Linked DNA regions of Anolis sagrei. The protein of the gene in region 1 binds, or shares a complex with, the protein of each later gene. Links are inferred from orthologs where the notes say so. Each region holds a gene or a part of one and is shown on either strand. Other genes may lie near its edges. The genes, in order: MUSK and DOK7.

Region 1 (8,050 bases):
AAAATGACTATACAGTTAGACAATGGCCTAAATCCAGCTATTACTCACTGATAGAATAGGGTCATTAAATAACCAGGAATTTGTTAAGTTAATGCTTACATAAAGTCCATTGATTTAATGAATTTGTTTTAGTTGGGACTAACAGCTGCATTTGAGACATTATCCGAAAAGCGAATTAGTTTCTTAGTGGGCTACAAAGAGTTCCCTTCAAAAAAGGAGCATGACCACACATCTAAGCAGTTTTCAGGACAGTATCATCCCAATTTGCAGAGATTTTAGGGCCAAAGAAAAAGATTGGGATGCTTCCTTGTCAAGTCAAAAGGGGTATATATGTGTGATGCCACCTTAGTGGCCTCTTGTGTAAAGGTTATGAAATTGAGTGTGAAAGACAATGTGAGTTTTCTGAACAAATATCCGCCTCAATCCAACATTCCCTTAGCATAAAATAAATATAAGCACCACACAATGCACATACAGAATAGTAACATTGTGCAGCACATGTTGGCAAGGTGTCATTGTGAAAAGCACGATACATTTTGCACAACTGCATTGCAAAATATAAATTAAGCAATTGCCATGCAAAATCTTCATGCAAAATATAGCATGCACAACAACAGAAGGTATGCAACTGCAAGGATGCGGCAGAGATGAACATGTTGGCACAATTATGCATCCACTGCTATGAGCAAAACAAATCCATTGCACAATGGTGACATGTTGGCTCTATGTGAGTAGCATACCTATACGAGGGACAGGGCCTTCTCGATGGTGGCCCCTCGACTTTGGAACTCCCTGCCATTAGAGATCAGAACTGCCCCCTCCCTCATGACGTTCAGGAAACTAACAAAGACCTGGTTGTGGAACGCGGCATTTGACAACTGATTTAATTCTTTGCCCACATGAAAGGAGGATGATGAATGGGATTGTGATGGTGTTGGACGATTTGGCTCTTTTAACTGTGATGATAATGTTTTAATGTGTATGGTGCTGATATTTTAATCGTGTAATGAAGTGGCATTGTGTTGTTATTGTATATTCTTTGTATGTTAACACATGTTGTGAACCGGTCCGAATCCCTCTTTGAAGGTGAGAGGGTCGGTATATAAAACCTCGAAATAAATAATAAATAATAAATATATCCCTACCACAATTCCAACCATTGGGTGCATCAAAAATATTAAAATATTTTAAAATGGTCAAAATGTACCTTTTCGGTGTCAGGAAACCCTGATGAGAAGTATCCTGAAATGATAAGCATCTTCACTGATATGGACCCTTAAGGTAACTCTGTCATAGATCTGAGAGTGTATAACTCACCTAAGGCCATCCAGTGGGTTTCCATGGTCAAGCAAAGAATTGAATCCTGGTCCCCAGAATCATAGTCCAACTCTCAGGCCATTACACAAAACTTACTTTCTTATCTACACAAAATTCATATGTGGTCAATTTGCAGAGAAAACAGCACTTGAAGGACAGGAAACCTATTACAGAAGGGTGAAACTTCACACATATTCACCCTGTTCATCCTCTCATGCCTCTGTAAAGGCAGGTGAAGCGGGACACTTCACCTGGACTTTTGTGATAAGGTCGTAAGAAAGAAAAAAGTTATCAATGATAACTAGATGAAATCTTTGTGTTCTTGATAAGGGATCAGGCGATACTTTAGATGTTGCTGAGTGGGAAGACTGAAGATCGTTCACCAATGGCTATCATGGCTGGAGTTGGTGGAAAATGTGGCCAAACAACTTCTTGAAGTTCATACCTTCCCCATCTCTAGATTCTAGGGATAAATAATAATGGAGAGCTGTGGGTTTAGTATCAGTGGTGGTGCATGTGGAAAATCAATATGTGGAAAATCATCTCCTATTTCTAAATCCTGGAGATAAACAATAGTAGTGAATTGTTGGTTTAGTGCCAATGCTGGTGGATGTGCTATGCTAATTCCTTGAAACTAGGATTGGGAGATGAAAGCATCTCTATTAAAAGGAAATGGTAAAGGTTTTCCCCTGGCATTAAGTCCAGTCATGCCCGACTCTGGAGGGTGATGCTCATATCAATTTCTAAGCCAAAGAGCCGGGGTTGTCCGTAGACCGCTCCAAGGTCATGTGGCCGGCATGACTGCATGGAGCGTCGTTACCCTCCTGCTGGAGTGATATCTATTGATATACTCATATTTGCATGTTTTCGAACTGCTAGGTTGGCAGAAGCTGGGGCTAACAGTGGTAGCTCACAACGCTCCCCGAATTCGAACCTGCATCTCTATTAGGACATCTCAAAAATACCTTTGCCCATGGCCATGGCCAACTACTGAAAGAAAAGCATTGGGAATCAATCAGAATTAGCAATACTGGGACTGATGAATAAGCTGTGTGCTGCTTCATATCTACATAGGAAGGCTTTTGCCTTCTTGGGTACTTCCCATGATGCTAGATTAAATTAGGAGTGGAAACTGTACTCCTCTAAACATTGCAGGGTTACAGCTACCATCAACCCTAGTTAACAAAGCAAGTAGTGGGGAATGATGGAAACTAAACTTCAGCACCATTTGGAAGGCCACACAATTTCTTTGCCTAATTAAATAGACCTTTGGTCTAATCTAGCGCATGAGGAGTTTCGTAAAACATGCAGCACTAAAGAAAAACTCTGAGCATTTTTCACCCTTGGCTGAGATGGCAGCCTAACAGCTTCTGTTGGCCTGTGCCATGCTATTATTTTAGAAAGGCATTGAGGCATTGTGCTGCTCAACTGTTTGCTTAAAAGGAATTCTGAAGGGATTTGCGTTCTCTTGTTTCATGAGCCCTCACATGTTGATACTGCCCGAAGTGGAAGCACACCAGCTGGCTGTGTCCATCACAGCTACCAAGTCTGAGAATTCCTGATTATACTTAGAACCCACAGAGTCAGTGGCGGAGAGGAACGTTGCAATGAACCATGCTTTCAAATTGAGCAGCCGCGAAGGAATATGCCTGTCTTTGACTAAAGAAGACGGATCCCATTTTCCCCCTTCCTTGGATTAACCATGAAAGACTCGCTCAACATTCCACTTGTACATATCTTTACTCTGGCGGCCTTCAGCTTGGCTGAAAGACTCCCAAAAGGTTGGTGTGAATAATGAACATCTTCTTAGCTTTGCCACTCATAACATATTTTCTCTATAACCTGGGGCAAGCCAGGCAAGTGGGATAAATATATAAGCCACGTAGATCTGTATGAATGAGCTCATTTCCCCCATGCAGTTGCATCTGTGACTGCCTTTGAAAGGAAAGTATGGAAGAACCATCCCCTTTTCAGATTTACAAATCTCCATTGGAAAGCAGTGCTCTGCTGTGTTTGTGTGGTAAGACTGTTTATCTTAAGTACCAAGTCAAGCACAAGTGATAAGACTGAAACTGTTTTCATGAATTCATAGTTGAATGTATTTTAGCATGGATGGTTAACTGGGAATAAATCTCACTGGACATCATAGGACCTCCAAGTAAATATAGTTTTGAGAAAGCTGCATGAAATAAGTGTTTAAAGTTATTCTAGATAGATAGAAGGATGCAGGCAAACTTTGATATTTTTTAGTTCCTGTGCAAGCTATATATATAGGGGGGGGGGGGGAATTAATGGGAAAATGAGAACTTTTGGTGAAATGTTATGGAGATTTATTCAGAAGCAGATCCCACTATGTCAATACAGCTTATTCTCGGATACATGTGCATAGGGGCACTGCTTTCCAATATAAATCTATATGTAGTCTCAAAAGTAAATTCCATTGATTTCACTGAGATTTTCTTCCAGGTAAATTAGTACAGCATCCTCAGTGATTTCAAAATGCTTTGATGCCATTTCAACTCTGAAAACAGTTCGAAATACATTTGAGAGAAAGTACAAGTGTTTATTTTGAGACAAAATACATCAGTATGTATTTTACTTGGGAATGTTCATGTGGAAAAGTTAGATAATAATACTGAAATGGATCAGAGGTTATCAATAAGCAAATACACACAAGAGGAAATGCAGTTTCATTTATCCTTATATAGTTATTTCCATGTATCTATATATGATTATACAGATACAATTGTTTATTACAGTTTTGTGAAAAATTAAAGACATAGTCCTGTTAACTCCAATGAGATCTGTACTAATATTATAAATCTATGCATACATAATATTATAATGATATTTATTTTTCTTAGATACAGTAATGAATCTTCAATTTAAGCATATCTAAATATATCTGTATAGGATAATATCCAACTTGAGCCAAGCATTTTTAGATGATTATTAATTCTAGAGGCAAAGTTATACATTTTGGGGAGCTCTTTGAATTTTCCTCCGACATTGCTTTTCAAAAATACAAGGGCACCCTTGAGAGGCTGAAATTGGAGGTAGAGAACAAGCAGGTGGAAACAGAACCATTTATCCACCTAGCTACTGGGCGCATTGTTCACAGAAAAGAAATATGGAGGTCTAGCATAACTTGGAAAGGAGACAGAGAAGCACAATTCTGAGTCAATATACAGTATGATCCCCATATCTTCGAAACTGAGGATTCCTTTACCGTAGAGTCTCACTTATCCAACCTTCGCTCATCCAACATTCTGTATTATCCAACGCAGTCTGCCTCCCGCCTGGATCCACAGGTGTTTCAGTACATTGTGATATTTTGATGTTAAATTTGTAAATACGGTAATTACTACATAACCTTACTGTGTATTGAACTGCTTTTCTGTCGATTTGTTGTAAAACATGTTTTGGTGCTTAATTTGTAAAATCATAATATAATTTGACGTTTAATAGGCTTTTCCTTAATCTCTCCTTATTATCCAACATTTTCACTTATCCAACTTTCTGCTGGCCCGTTTATGCTGGATAAGCGAGACTCTACTGTATATTTATGCAACCAAATATGTTTTCTTGAGGCATTTTCTAGGTCCTCCACTGCAACATGAGTGTATTCTTGGGCCAGGAATTGTTTATTTCAATAAGATTTGATAATACCTGCTATTTCATATATCCATGTCTGGGAACATATTCCTAGTGGATATAGGCGTTGTACTGTATCCCAGAAATGGAAATCCTAAGCAGTCCCTCCCCCAGGTTTTTTTCCTGTTTAACTAAAGGCACTCTCCTGTTTGTTTTTCATTTTAAAAGTCTTCCCTACACCATGAGATATGCAACTCCATTTCTTGTGAATTTCGCCGCTAGGGCCATTGGTTCTCCCAACAGCATTTTATCAGTTGAGATTAATATTTATAAATGACTTTTCATGTGAAAAAATGTGGTGGAATGAAGATTTGGAAAAATGTTCCAACTGAGTGTTTGCATGAAGTTCATTAACATATTGGCATCAAGATTATGTAAACAGTTCAAACCAACAGTGCTGTCAACAGCTTGATAAATGAGCTGGAAGCAAAATTTTAGCCTTCAGTTAGTTTCCAGGTCCATAAAAAGCTGATCCGTAACGTTCTTTGTTGTATATATGCACAACGTAATGATGAAAATGAAATGAATAGCATTCATCTTATTTTTTTGGCAACTTTGCATAGAGGATTTGTTATCCTGCAAAGAAATATTTATCCTCAAACTGGATTTGTTCACTGTACAAATAAAAGATTATCAGGTACATATTAATTGCTGGGTGTTACACAAGGTTGTTTAGACACAACTAATTGAAAAAAAGACAGTGTTGTATACTTCTTTTAAATATATTTGGCTTAGCAATAGTTATGAGATTCAGAACTTGAGTAAGAGGACACTTGTTTCCAAATGTCCCACTTCCTACCACCTACATGAAATATTTAAAATGGAAACAAATTTGACTAGCGATGGGTGACACTCATATATCTTCCCTAATGCAGAAGTGTAAATCAAGATGATCTTCCCTGAAAGGAATACTTTGGAAAATAGCTCCATTAATTCTGAGTAGTACATTTCAAAACCACCTTGAAGACCATCTCATTTATGATGATATCTACAGGAATATAGCAGGGTCAAAACCTCTTATTCTGAAATATCTAAGAATCTCATAAAAACTTTCCTGGCTGCTGCTGTTATAAGATTCATAACAGGTACCAATATTTTGATGGCAATAGTATCAGAGAAGGAAGTCTCTCTTATCCTCCTCACTCTTTTTTAGTAGCGGCCAATGCAGAGAGGGATCCAGAAGATATACATGAATTTTGCCCTTCCATCACATGAGCAAGTGATGGGAAAAATAGATGCAGTGATACATGGAAAGGTTTTCTAGCTTGGGTTGCAATGGAATGGCACAGTTTGGAACACTGGTGTGCATTCTGAATAAGCTATGTTTACACTCTGAACTGGATCATCAGCATTTGTGAAGTTTGCCAATAGTATTAGTCGAGAAAAGAAAAACCTACAGCAAAGCCCCGATGTGTTTACCTGCCTATTTTACCACTGCAATCACATTAATTTTTTCTCCTTTTAAGCTTTGGAGTAAGCTTTGGACTGTTCCTAAGAATAAGAATAAGAATAAAAATAACAATAAGAAGAAGAATGCTTTATTTATATCCTGTTTCCTCCCCAAAGGGACTCGAAGCTGCTTACAACAAATAGAAACAAATTATAATAAATGCATACATTGTCAAAAATAACTCAACAGTAATAAAATAAGCAAAGCAAACACAAACCATAGTACATATAACTAAAAAAATGGCAACTAATTTCAAACAGTTTAAAACATCTCAGTACTTACTTTAGTTTGTAAAACAATAGGATTTAGTTAGAGTTTGATCCCTTAAGACCTCAATCAAGTATATTACACATTGGCCATTGTTGAAAGCCTGTTTCCAGAGCCATGTCTTGAAAATTGCCAGTGTGGCAGGCAGTCTGGCCTCCCAGGGGAGAGCGTTCCAGAGCTGTGGGGCCACAACCAAGAAGGCCCTTTTCCTAGTCCCCACCAACTGTGCTTATGATGGAGATGGAACCATGAGAAGGGTCTCCCCAGCAGATCTCAAGGTCCAAAGGGTTTCATAGGGGGAGATGTGATTGCACAGATAGGCTGAACCCGAATCATGTAGGGTTTTATAGGCGATAACCTGCAACACTTTGTAACACCCAGTCCCCAGCCTTTCAACAGTGCAGCATTAATGGGATCTTGCCAGTTCCAGCAAGAAGCGACAGAGATCTAAACCTATATGGAGAGTAGAAGTCTTATAGCATTTTGCAGCTGTGAAACTATGTATTCAGCTAACATTGAATCAGCAACTAGATCCAGTTCTTAAGCTTCTGGTTGCCCACCCTTATTTAGATCTTCTCTATTATTTCATTTCCTTTCATAAACCTTGACAGAAACTCATATGTTTTGTTATTTTTCAGTGAGCAGGGAAATAGTTTAGCATTTCCTTAAGTTCAGGAGAATCCACTGAGGATTTTTTTTGTAGCATTCTCTGTGATTTTCTGTAGACAAAGTGTCTGACATGGCTGTGAACAATGTGTTGTTTCCTCTAAGTACTGGATACCCTGGATGCCCCTGGCATCCATATTCTGAAAAAAACTGTTTACAGGATGGCTTTGTGTGCCAAGAGAAGCATGCTGAAAGAAAGGAATTAATAGGAGGTGCCCTCTTGATCTCCATTACTCAGAATTGCATGACACAATATAAAATATTTACAGTTCCTCAAGACCATGTTGAGTCATTGCATGAAACATAACTCTTTCTATGCCTTTAAGAAAAAAGGAATGACATGTGCACATCCATTGATATTACTGCAGAAGAATGCTATTTCATAGAGTTACCAGAAGTTTTTTCATTGTGCAAAAATTAACACCAGATATTATTCTTAGACATTAAAAAGGACCTTATATGACTATGGTGAGGCCTTCGTGACATTCATTTTGCAAATCTTTAGGAAAGTTATGATGACTGGTTACAGTATGATGTTCATCCATTGGGATGAGCCTTTATTTAAGCTATTCCAGTTGGTGATAACATTTTGGGGCTTCTAAAGAGTTGACATGCCCAAAAGTCTGTTTTTTGGTTGAATGATAGGCAGCTATTGAATTCAGTTAGTGAAACTCAAGGCTCCGTCCTGAAGTTTAT
Region 2 (8,050 bases), on another chromosome or scaffold:
TAACAATCAATAATTATAAATAGTTAAAAACATTAAGACAATACAATTAACATCTACTAAGAATTACCAGTCTGGTGGTCGTTATTTAGCCAAATTCTGTGATTGGATACTTCATCAAACTTATCCATAGTCCATTTCCAAGCCATTGTCAACATTGTCATTGTCCGCCTAATTACCCGAAAGCCTGGTCCCACATCCACGTTTTTAACTTCTTTCTAAAGGTGAAGAGGGATGAAGATGACCTAATTTTCCTGGGGAGTGAATTCCACAGGCAGGGGTCCACCATTGAGAAGGCCCTGTCCCTTGTCCCCACCAAGCGTATTTGAGACAGAGGCGGGGCTGAGAGCAAGGCCTCCCCAGAAGATCTTAAACTCTGAGGTGGGACGAAGGAGATACGTTCGGACAGGTACACTGGACCTGAGCCGTATAGGGTTTTATAAGTCAAAACCAGCACTTTGAATTGTGCTCAAAATTGGATCGGCAACCAGTGGAGCTGACATAATAGGAGGGTGGTATGCTCCCTGTATGACGCTCCAGTAAGTAATCTAGCTGCCACCCGTTGGACTAACTGAAGTTTCTGAACAGTCTTCAAAGGCAACCCCACGTAGAGCGAGTTGCAGTAATCTATTTGGGATGTGACAAGAGAGTGGGCCGCTGTGGCCAGATCAGACTTCCCAAATTACAGGTGCAGTTCAAAGCAGATAATGTGGGATTTTATTCAGCTGTGTGGAAGGGGCCTGGGTTATATGGAAGGACCCTAACTCTCCCCTTGTCAGAACAAAAAGGCAGAGGGTTGTTGTCGGTTTTTCGGACAGTATGGCCATGTTCTAGAACAGTGCTTCTCAACCTGTGGGTCCCCAGGTGTTTTGGCCTACAACTCCCAGGAATTTCAGCCAGTTTACCAGCTGCTAGGATTTCTGGGAGTTGAAGGCCAAAACATCTGGGGACCCACATGTTGAGAACTACTGTTCTAGAAGCATTCTCTCCTGACGTTACACCTGAATCTATGGCAGGCATCCTCAGAGGTTGTGAGGTCTGTTGGAAACTAGGAAAATTGAAAGAGGTGTGAGCAAGACGACAGCTAGGCTCTAGAACCGGGTTTCTCAACTTTCCTAATACTGCGGCCCCTCAATACACTTCCTCATGTTGTGGTGACCCCCAATTATAACTTTATTTTCGTTGCTACTTCGTAACTTTGGTGCTGGAGGAAAGTTCTGAGAGTGCCTTGGACTGCGAGAAGATCCAACCAGTCCATCCTCCAGGAAATAAAGCCAGACTGCTCACTGGAGGGAAAGATACTAGAGACAAAATTGAAATACTTTGGCCACATCATGAGGAGACAGGAAAGCCTAGAGAAGACAATTATGGTGGGGAAAGTGGAAGGAAAAAGGAAGAGGGGCCGACCAAGGGCAAGATGGATGGATGGCATCCTTGAAGTGACTGGACTGACCTTGAGGGAGCTGGGGGTGGTGACGGCCGACAGGGAGCTCTGGCGTGGGCTGGTCCATGAGGTCACGAAGAGTCGGAGACGACTGAACGAATGAACAACAACAACACTTCGTAACTGTCGTTTCACTACCGTTATGAATCATAATGTAAATATCCAATATGCGGGATGAATTTTCATTCACTGGACCAAATCTGGAACAAATACCCGATACGCCCACATTTGAATCCTAGTGGGGTTGGGGGGGGGGGATTGATTTTGTCATTTGGGAGTTGTAGTTGCTGGAATTTATAGTTCACCTACAATCAAAAAGCATTCTGAACTTCACCAGTGATGGAATTAAACCAATCTTGGCACACTGAACTTCCACGACCAACAGAAAATACTGGAAGGGTTTGGTGGGCATTGACCTTGAGTTTTGGAGTTGTAGTTCATTTACATCCAGAGTGCACTGTGGACACAAACAGTGATGGAACTGGACCAAATTTGGCATGAATACTCAATATTCCCAAATCAGAACACTGGTGGAGTTTGGGGAATAGAGACCTTGACATTTGGGAGTTGTACTCGCTGGGATTTATAGTTCACCTACAATCAAAGAGCACTCTGAACCCAGCCCACAATGGATCTGCACCAAACTTAGCACACTACCTACATGGCCAGCATTGAATACTGGTGGGCAGGCATGTAGCCAGGGGGGGGGGGGCTCGGGGGGCTTCACCCCCCCCCCGAAATTTTCATGGTGGTTCGCGAAAAGGCCTTATTGGTGCATTATTTAAACTATTATGTTTATTCATATCATGATCTGATCACCATACTCAATATATCCCATATGCATGGGGGTATTGGGGTAATGATACAAAAGGTTTGCTAGGCTAGACCCTCTTTCACTCAGACTCAGCTCCCCCAAAACTCAGCCCCCCCAAAACCCCCCCTGAAAAAAATTCAGCCCCCCCCCCCCCGAAACGAAATCCTGGCTACGGGCCTGCTGGTGGGGTTAGGGCAGGCCCGTAGCCAGGAAAGGGCACATCTTCACTGACCATTTGGGTTGATTTGGAACCAGTTTGGGAAAAATTAGTTTTGCAGTGCAGATGGTTAGACATATTTGGAGGAGGTTTGAGGCCAGGAAGGTAATCACATTATAATGGAAGGTGGCCTCAAACCAGTTCCAAAATTCACAGTATCTGCTGCTTGACAGCCACTGGGCAGGCCCGTAGTCAGGATTTTGATTGGGGGGGGGGGGGGGGCTAAGTCTGAGTGAAAGAGGGTCTACCCTAGCAAACATTTTGTATCATTACCCCAATACCTCCATGCATATGGGATATATTGAGTATCATAGAATCATAGAATCAAAGAGTTGGAAGAGACCTCATGGGCCATCCAGTCCAACCCCCTGCCAAGAAGCAGGAATGTTGCATTCAAAGCACCCCTGACAGATGGCCATCCAGCCTCTGTTTAAAAGCTTCCAAAGAAGGAGCCTCCACCACACTCCGGGGCAGAGAGTTCCACTGCTGAACGGCTCTCACAGTTAGGAAGTTCTTCCTTGTGTTCAGATGGAATCTTCAGATGGAGTATGGTGATCAGATCATGATATGAATAAACATAACATAATGCACCAGTAAGGCCTTTTCGCGAACCACCATGAGAATTTCGGGGGGGGGGGGGGAGGCTGAAGCCCCCGGCCACATGCCTGGGTTGGGGAGGCTATTTTTGAATTCTGGGAGCTGTAGTTCACCAACACCAAAAAGGAAGAGAAGGACAGACGGAGAGATCTTTAGCCTTCTCTAACAAAAGGGTTCCTATGACCATCAGAAGTATGTGTTTTCTGATGGACTTTGGTGACCCCTCTGAAACCCACTGGTGACCCCCTCAGGGGTCCCGACCTCCAGGTTGAGAAACACTGCTCTAGAAAGAAGCCTCCACCCGGCCCAGAGTGAGAGACAAGAAGAGGAAGGGAACAGCCGCGGCCACCTTTCAGGCAGGACTGAGCGCTCAGGGTCCTGCAAGGGAAGGGAGGGGTCTGGCCCCGCCCCCTACTCCTCGGGGCCACGCCCACTCGGCCAGCAGTGACCCAATAAAGTTATTTTGAAAGTGACCCTGCCGCCGCCGCGCCAGCCGCAGCTGTCGGAAATCATGACTGAAGATGACGGATTCCGCGGTAGTGGTGGAGGGCCAGCTCAAGTGGAGAGATGGAAAAAAGGTCCGCGGCACCCACCTTTCCCGGGGACGGGGCAGGAGGGTCTTTTCTCCCTCTCTCCCTCCCTCACTTTCCCTTTACCCCCTCCAATGCCTCTCTCTCTCTCTTTCTCCACAGTGGAAGACGCGGTGGGCGGTGCTGCGCAAGCCTTCGCCGGTCGCTGGTGAGTCCGGCGCGTGAGGGGAAAGCGAGGAAGGAAGGGGGGGGGTTCTCTTGGAGGAGGCAGATAGGCCCCTGGCGCCTCTGTGGGGAAAGGAGCGCCTCCCTCAGCCTTCCTCCGGGTCACGAGGAAAGCTGAGGGAGGAGACCCTTCCCCAGCCCTTGCCTTGCCCTTGCCGGTCTCGCGCCGGTTTCTCGCCCCCTCTTCAGTTTTATGAGCCTGGCCCGCAGGCGGGGAATCAGGGCTAAATTTAGAAGGAGGGCATTGAAGGGTGGAGGGGAGGGGAGGGGCCGCGCTGCTATTGGGGAAGGAGGAGGGGCCCACCGGCTCTGCTTGGGGCAGAAGCAGCATTGGGACGCACGGGTCCCGGATGCTCAAGTCTTGGGTTTAGAGGCCAAGCAAGTGCTTCTGAGGGCCCTTCCACACAGCTGTACACTATTCCCTTTGAACTGGGTTATATGGCAGTGTGGACTCAGATAATCCAGTTCAAAGCAGATATTGTGGATTTTCTGCCTTGATATTCTGGGGGCCCTTCCACACAGCCCTATATCCCAGAATATCAAGGCAGAAAATTCCACATTATCTGACTAGACCAGTGTTTCTCAACCTTCTTAATACCACGACCCCTTAATACAGTTCCTGGTGTTGTGGTGGCCCCCAACCATAAAATTATTTTCATTGCTACTTCATAACTGCAGTTTTGCTACTGTTATGAATCATAATGTAAAAATCTGGTATGCAGGATGTATTTTCATTCCCTGAACCAAATTTGGCACAAATACCCGATACGTCCAAATCTGAATATTTGTGGGGTTGGGGAGGATTGATTTTGTCATTTGGGAGTTGTAGTTGCTGGAATTTATAATTCACCTACAATTGAAGGGCATTCTGAACTCCACCAACGATTGTATTGAACCAGACTTGGCACACAGAACTCCCCTGACCAAAAGAAAATACTGGAAGGGTTTGGTAGGCATTGACCTTGTGTTTTGGAGTTATAGTTCATCTACATCCAGAGAGCACTGTGGACACAAACAATGATGGATCTGGACCAAACTTGGTATGAATCCTCAACATGCCCAAATGTGAATACTGGTGGTGTTTGGGGAAAATAGACCTTGACATTTGGGAGTTGTAGTTACTGGGATTTATAGTTCTCCTACACTCAAAGCACATCCTGAACCCCACCACCAGTGATAGAATTGGGTCAAACTTACCACACAGAACCCCCATGACTAATATTGTGTTTTCTGATGGTCTTTGGTGACCCCTCTGACACCTCCTTGCAACCCCCCCCCCCCCCCCGGGGTCTCAACCCCCAGGTTGAGAAACATGACTAGACTCAGATAACCCAATTCAAAGAAGATATTGTGGGATTTTCTGTCATTATATTCTGGGATATAGGACTGCGTTGAAGGGCCATGGGTTATATGGCCATGTGGAAGGGTCCTCAATTGGGCCTTTCTACCTCTTGCAGCTAGGTCTAACCATTCCACACAGCTGAATAAAATCCCACATTATTTGCTTTGCCCTGGGTTATATGTCTGTGTGGAAGGACCTTCAGAACTTTAACATTTTCCACCCACAACCTCTTTTGGCACAGGACAAGTTTACATTTGTATAGGTCTACAGTAGTAGACCCAACCCTTTTTTGACCAGGGACTATTCTCCAACATTACTGCCAAAAGGGTTACGAATCAGTTTTTCTTTAACTAGATTCAGTTTTGTTATTTGGGGTGCTGATTCAGAAAATTGCATTGGATAGACCACACCAGCTCTAGTTTCTGATGCAGAATATATGCCATCTGCTCACCCACAGAAAACCATATTCAATAATCTAGAACTGGTGTGGTAGCAGAAATCTTTCATGAGTAGTCAGCCACTCCCTTCCTGACATCCCCTTTGCCTCGGCACTACAAGAAGGTTCCACGAGACCAGTTGCTCTAGTTCCTGTGTTGTTCCGAGGCAACGATGTAGTAATGGTGAAGCTGCAGACCATATTTTTGTTCTTGCAGACCACTGGTGGTCCACAGACCACAGGTTAGGAACCAGTAGTCTACAAGCACTCCCAACTCCGAAGGGCTGAGACAACAGGAAATGAAAGAAATCTCTCTTTAGGAATGGAAATTCGCTCCTGAATGAGTTATCATGGGGAAAAGGTGTCTCTACCAAAGCTTTCTCACCAAATATTGTTTCCACAAGCCACATTTTTCTAATTATCAAGGGGAAAGAAAGTGAGGTGAAATCTTCTGAACAGAAGCACAAGGCCCTTTCAGACAGGTCCTATATCTCAGGATCTGATCCCAGGTTTTCTGTTTATCCCAGGACCCTTCCACACAGCCCTATATCCCAGAATATCAAGGCAGAAAACCCCACATTATCTGCTTTGAACTGGGTTACCTGAGTCCACACTCAGATAATGTGAGATTTTCTGCCTTGATATTCTGGGATATAGGGCTTTGTGGAAGGCCCTCACTTTATATTGCAGAGGGGCTCATATAATCCTGTTTAAATCAGATAACCTGGGATGAGATCCTGAGATATAGGGCCTGTCTGGAAGGGCCCACAGATAGCTAGAGCAACAACACAGGGGTGTTAACCTTTCCCTATGATATCTAAAGTGCATATGTGTATGTGTGTATGAATGGCTGGAGTTACACTTTAAAAATGTACCTGTGCTGACTTACATACAAATTCAATTTACGACCAAACCTACAGAACCTATCTTGTTTGTAACTTGGAGACTGTCTATGTATTGGTAAAATAGGTATGAAAAAATCTGTTATTTACAGATAACTGATCAGCATATGTAAGGCTTGCTAAACAGGCTGGTTTTCCTCTTTATGACCCACACAGCTGTATAAATGATCCATACAGCTGTATAAAATCCACATGGAACTGGATTATATAGCAGCATGGACTCAGATAACCCAGTTCAAAGTAGATATTGTGGATTATCTACCTTGATATTCTGGGTTTTATGGCTTGTGGAAGGGCCATTTGAAGCACAGCAGAAACACTTTCTGCAGAGTCCACTGTAAACACAGCACAACAGATTCATGTAAATGTCTGCAACAGCTACTAAGTGACCTTCAGAAAACTTTTCCTGTTGCCAATTTATTTTTTTTTGGGGGGGGGGGGGGGGGGTACCTACACTGATCCAAGGGGATCCCATTTGTGGCCAGGGCCCACGGTTTAAAACATAGTGATCTAGTTCACCACATCTTAAACTGTGTGTCCTGACCTTAAATGGGGATCACAACAACACTGGCAACAGTAAATGGTTTCTGAATGCTGCCTAGTGTTTTAGATATTTACACAAATCTGCTAACAACAATATGCAGTAGTTGCAGTGGACTGCAGAAGATACTTCAGCTCTACTTTGTAAAAGGGGAAAATCAGCCTGTTTAGCAAGCCTTTCAAATACTGATTTATTACCAGTAAATGTTTGATTTTTAACCTATTTATATACCTATATACCCTAGGGTAAAATTATTTGAGCAGAAAGGGGTCACAAGTGGAAAACGCTTTAAGAAGCCCTGGCTGATTCTGCTTTAACCTGTTGATTTTTAAATTTGTTCTGTTAGGATACGTGATAATCTCCATTTGTCCCTGTATTTAAACAGCAAATGTCTCTTATTTTTGCCCTCGCTAGCATGGTAAAGATTGTTTCCTCTCCTTCTCCCTTGTAATTTGGCAGCTAATTTCTGTCTCTGTGATGAGTGGTGGGTATCCTTTTTACCTCATACAATCTCAGTCTCTTCCTTCCTCTCTTTGAAAGTGCTGGGTCCTTTTGGCTGCCAATCAAGACCTGGGTGTTTTCTAGGGTTCTTAGCTATGTCAGCATGTGGTCACACTCCTTGAAATCATATGTAACATTTGTCACATCAACACTGATCCATATAGTTCAACACAGTTCAGCAGTTCAGAAATAATACATACATCGGGGGGGGGGGGACGAGTACAAAACAAGGTTATATTCTATTATACAGTGCTACAGTCCTCTGTCCTTTGGTATGAAGTCTCATATTGTATATCTGAGAAAAATACTTCACATCAAATTCTGCTTTCCAACTTTCTATGAAAACATACACCCCTTACTGTGATAACTAAAATTGGGGAGACTTGGAGAACTGGAAACTCAGAGACACTGGAGACTAAAAAGGACAACAGCTCTTCCAGCCTCCCCCTGTCCTCCCACAGTAGCTGGCTCCTACAGCTCTTGCAGATACATATCTTTCCATTT

Evidence for each region.
Region 2: the proteins of MUSK (region 1) and DOK7 are in contact, whole or in part, in a crystal structure (PDB 3ML4), measured with the Mus musculus proteins. The link is inferred for Anolis sagrei from reciprocal best matches to the Homo sapiens genes MUSK and DOK7. Residues at the interface, in NP_035074.2 of Mus musculus: Leu547, His548, Pro549, Asn550, Pro551, Met552, Tyr553, Gln554, Arg555; in NP_001335203.1 of Mus musculus: Leu154, Ser155, Asp156, Leu157, Arg158, Arg159, Tyr160, Gly161, Gly172, Thr173, Arg174, Ser193, Asp197, Val200, Arg201.

Annotation. Positions count from the first base shown.
Region 1 is NC_090022.1:205,875,470-205,883,519, reverse strand, and holds the start of MUSK (muscle, skeletal receptor tyrosine-protein kinase), read left to right. Parts: upstream 1-2,802; 5' UTR 2,803-3,019; coding exon 3,020-3,098; intron 3,099-8,050.
Region 2 is NC_090025.1:105,333,167-105,341,216, forward strand, and holds the start of DOK7 (protein Dok-7), read left to right. Parts: upstream 1-3,485; 5' UTR 3,486-3,590; coding exon 3,591-3,647; intron 3,648-3,662; exon of another isoform or gene 3,663-3,761; coding exon 3,762-3,807; exon of another isoform or gene 3,808-3,842; intron 3,843-8,050. UniProt on the Homo sapiens protein: Probable muscle-intrinsic activator of MUSK that plays an essential role in neuromuscular synaptogenesis. Acts in aneural activation of MUSK and subsequent acetylcholine receptor (AchR) clustering in myotubes. Induces autophosphorylation of MUSK.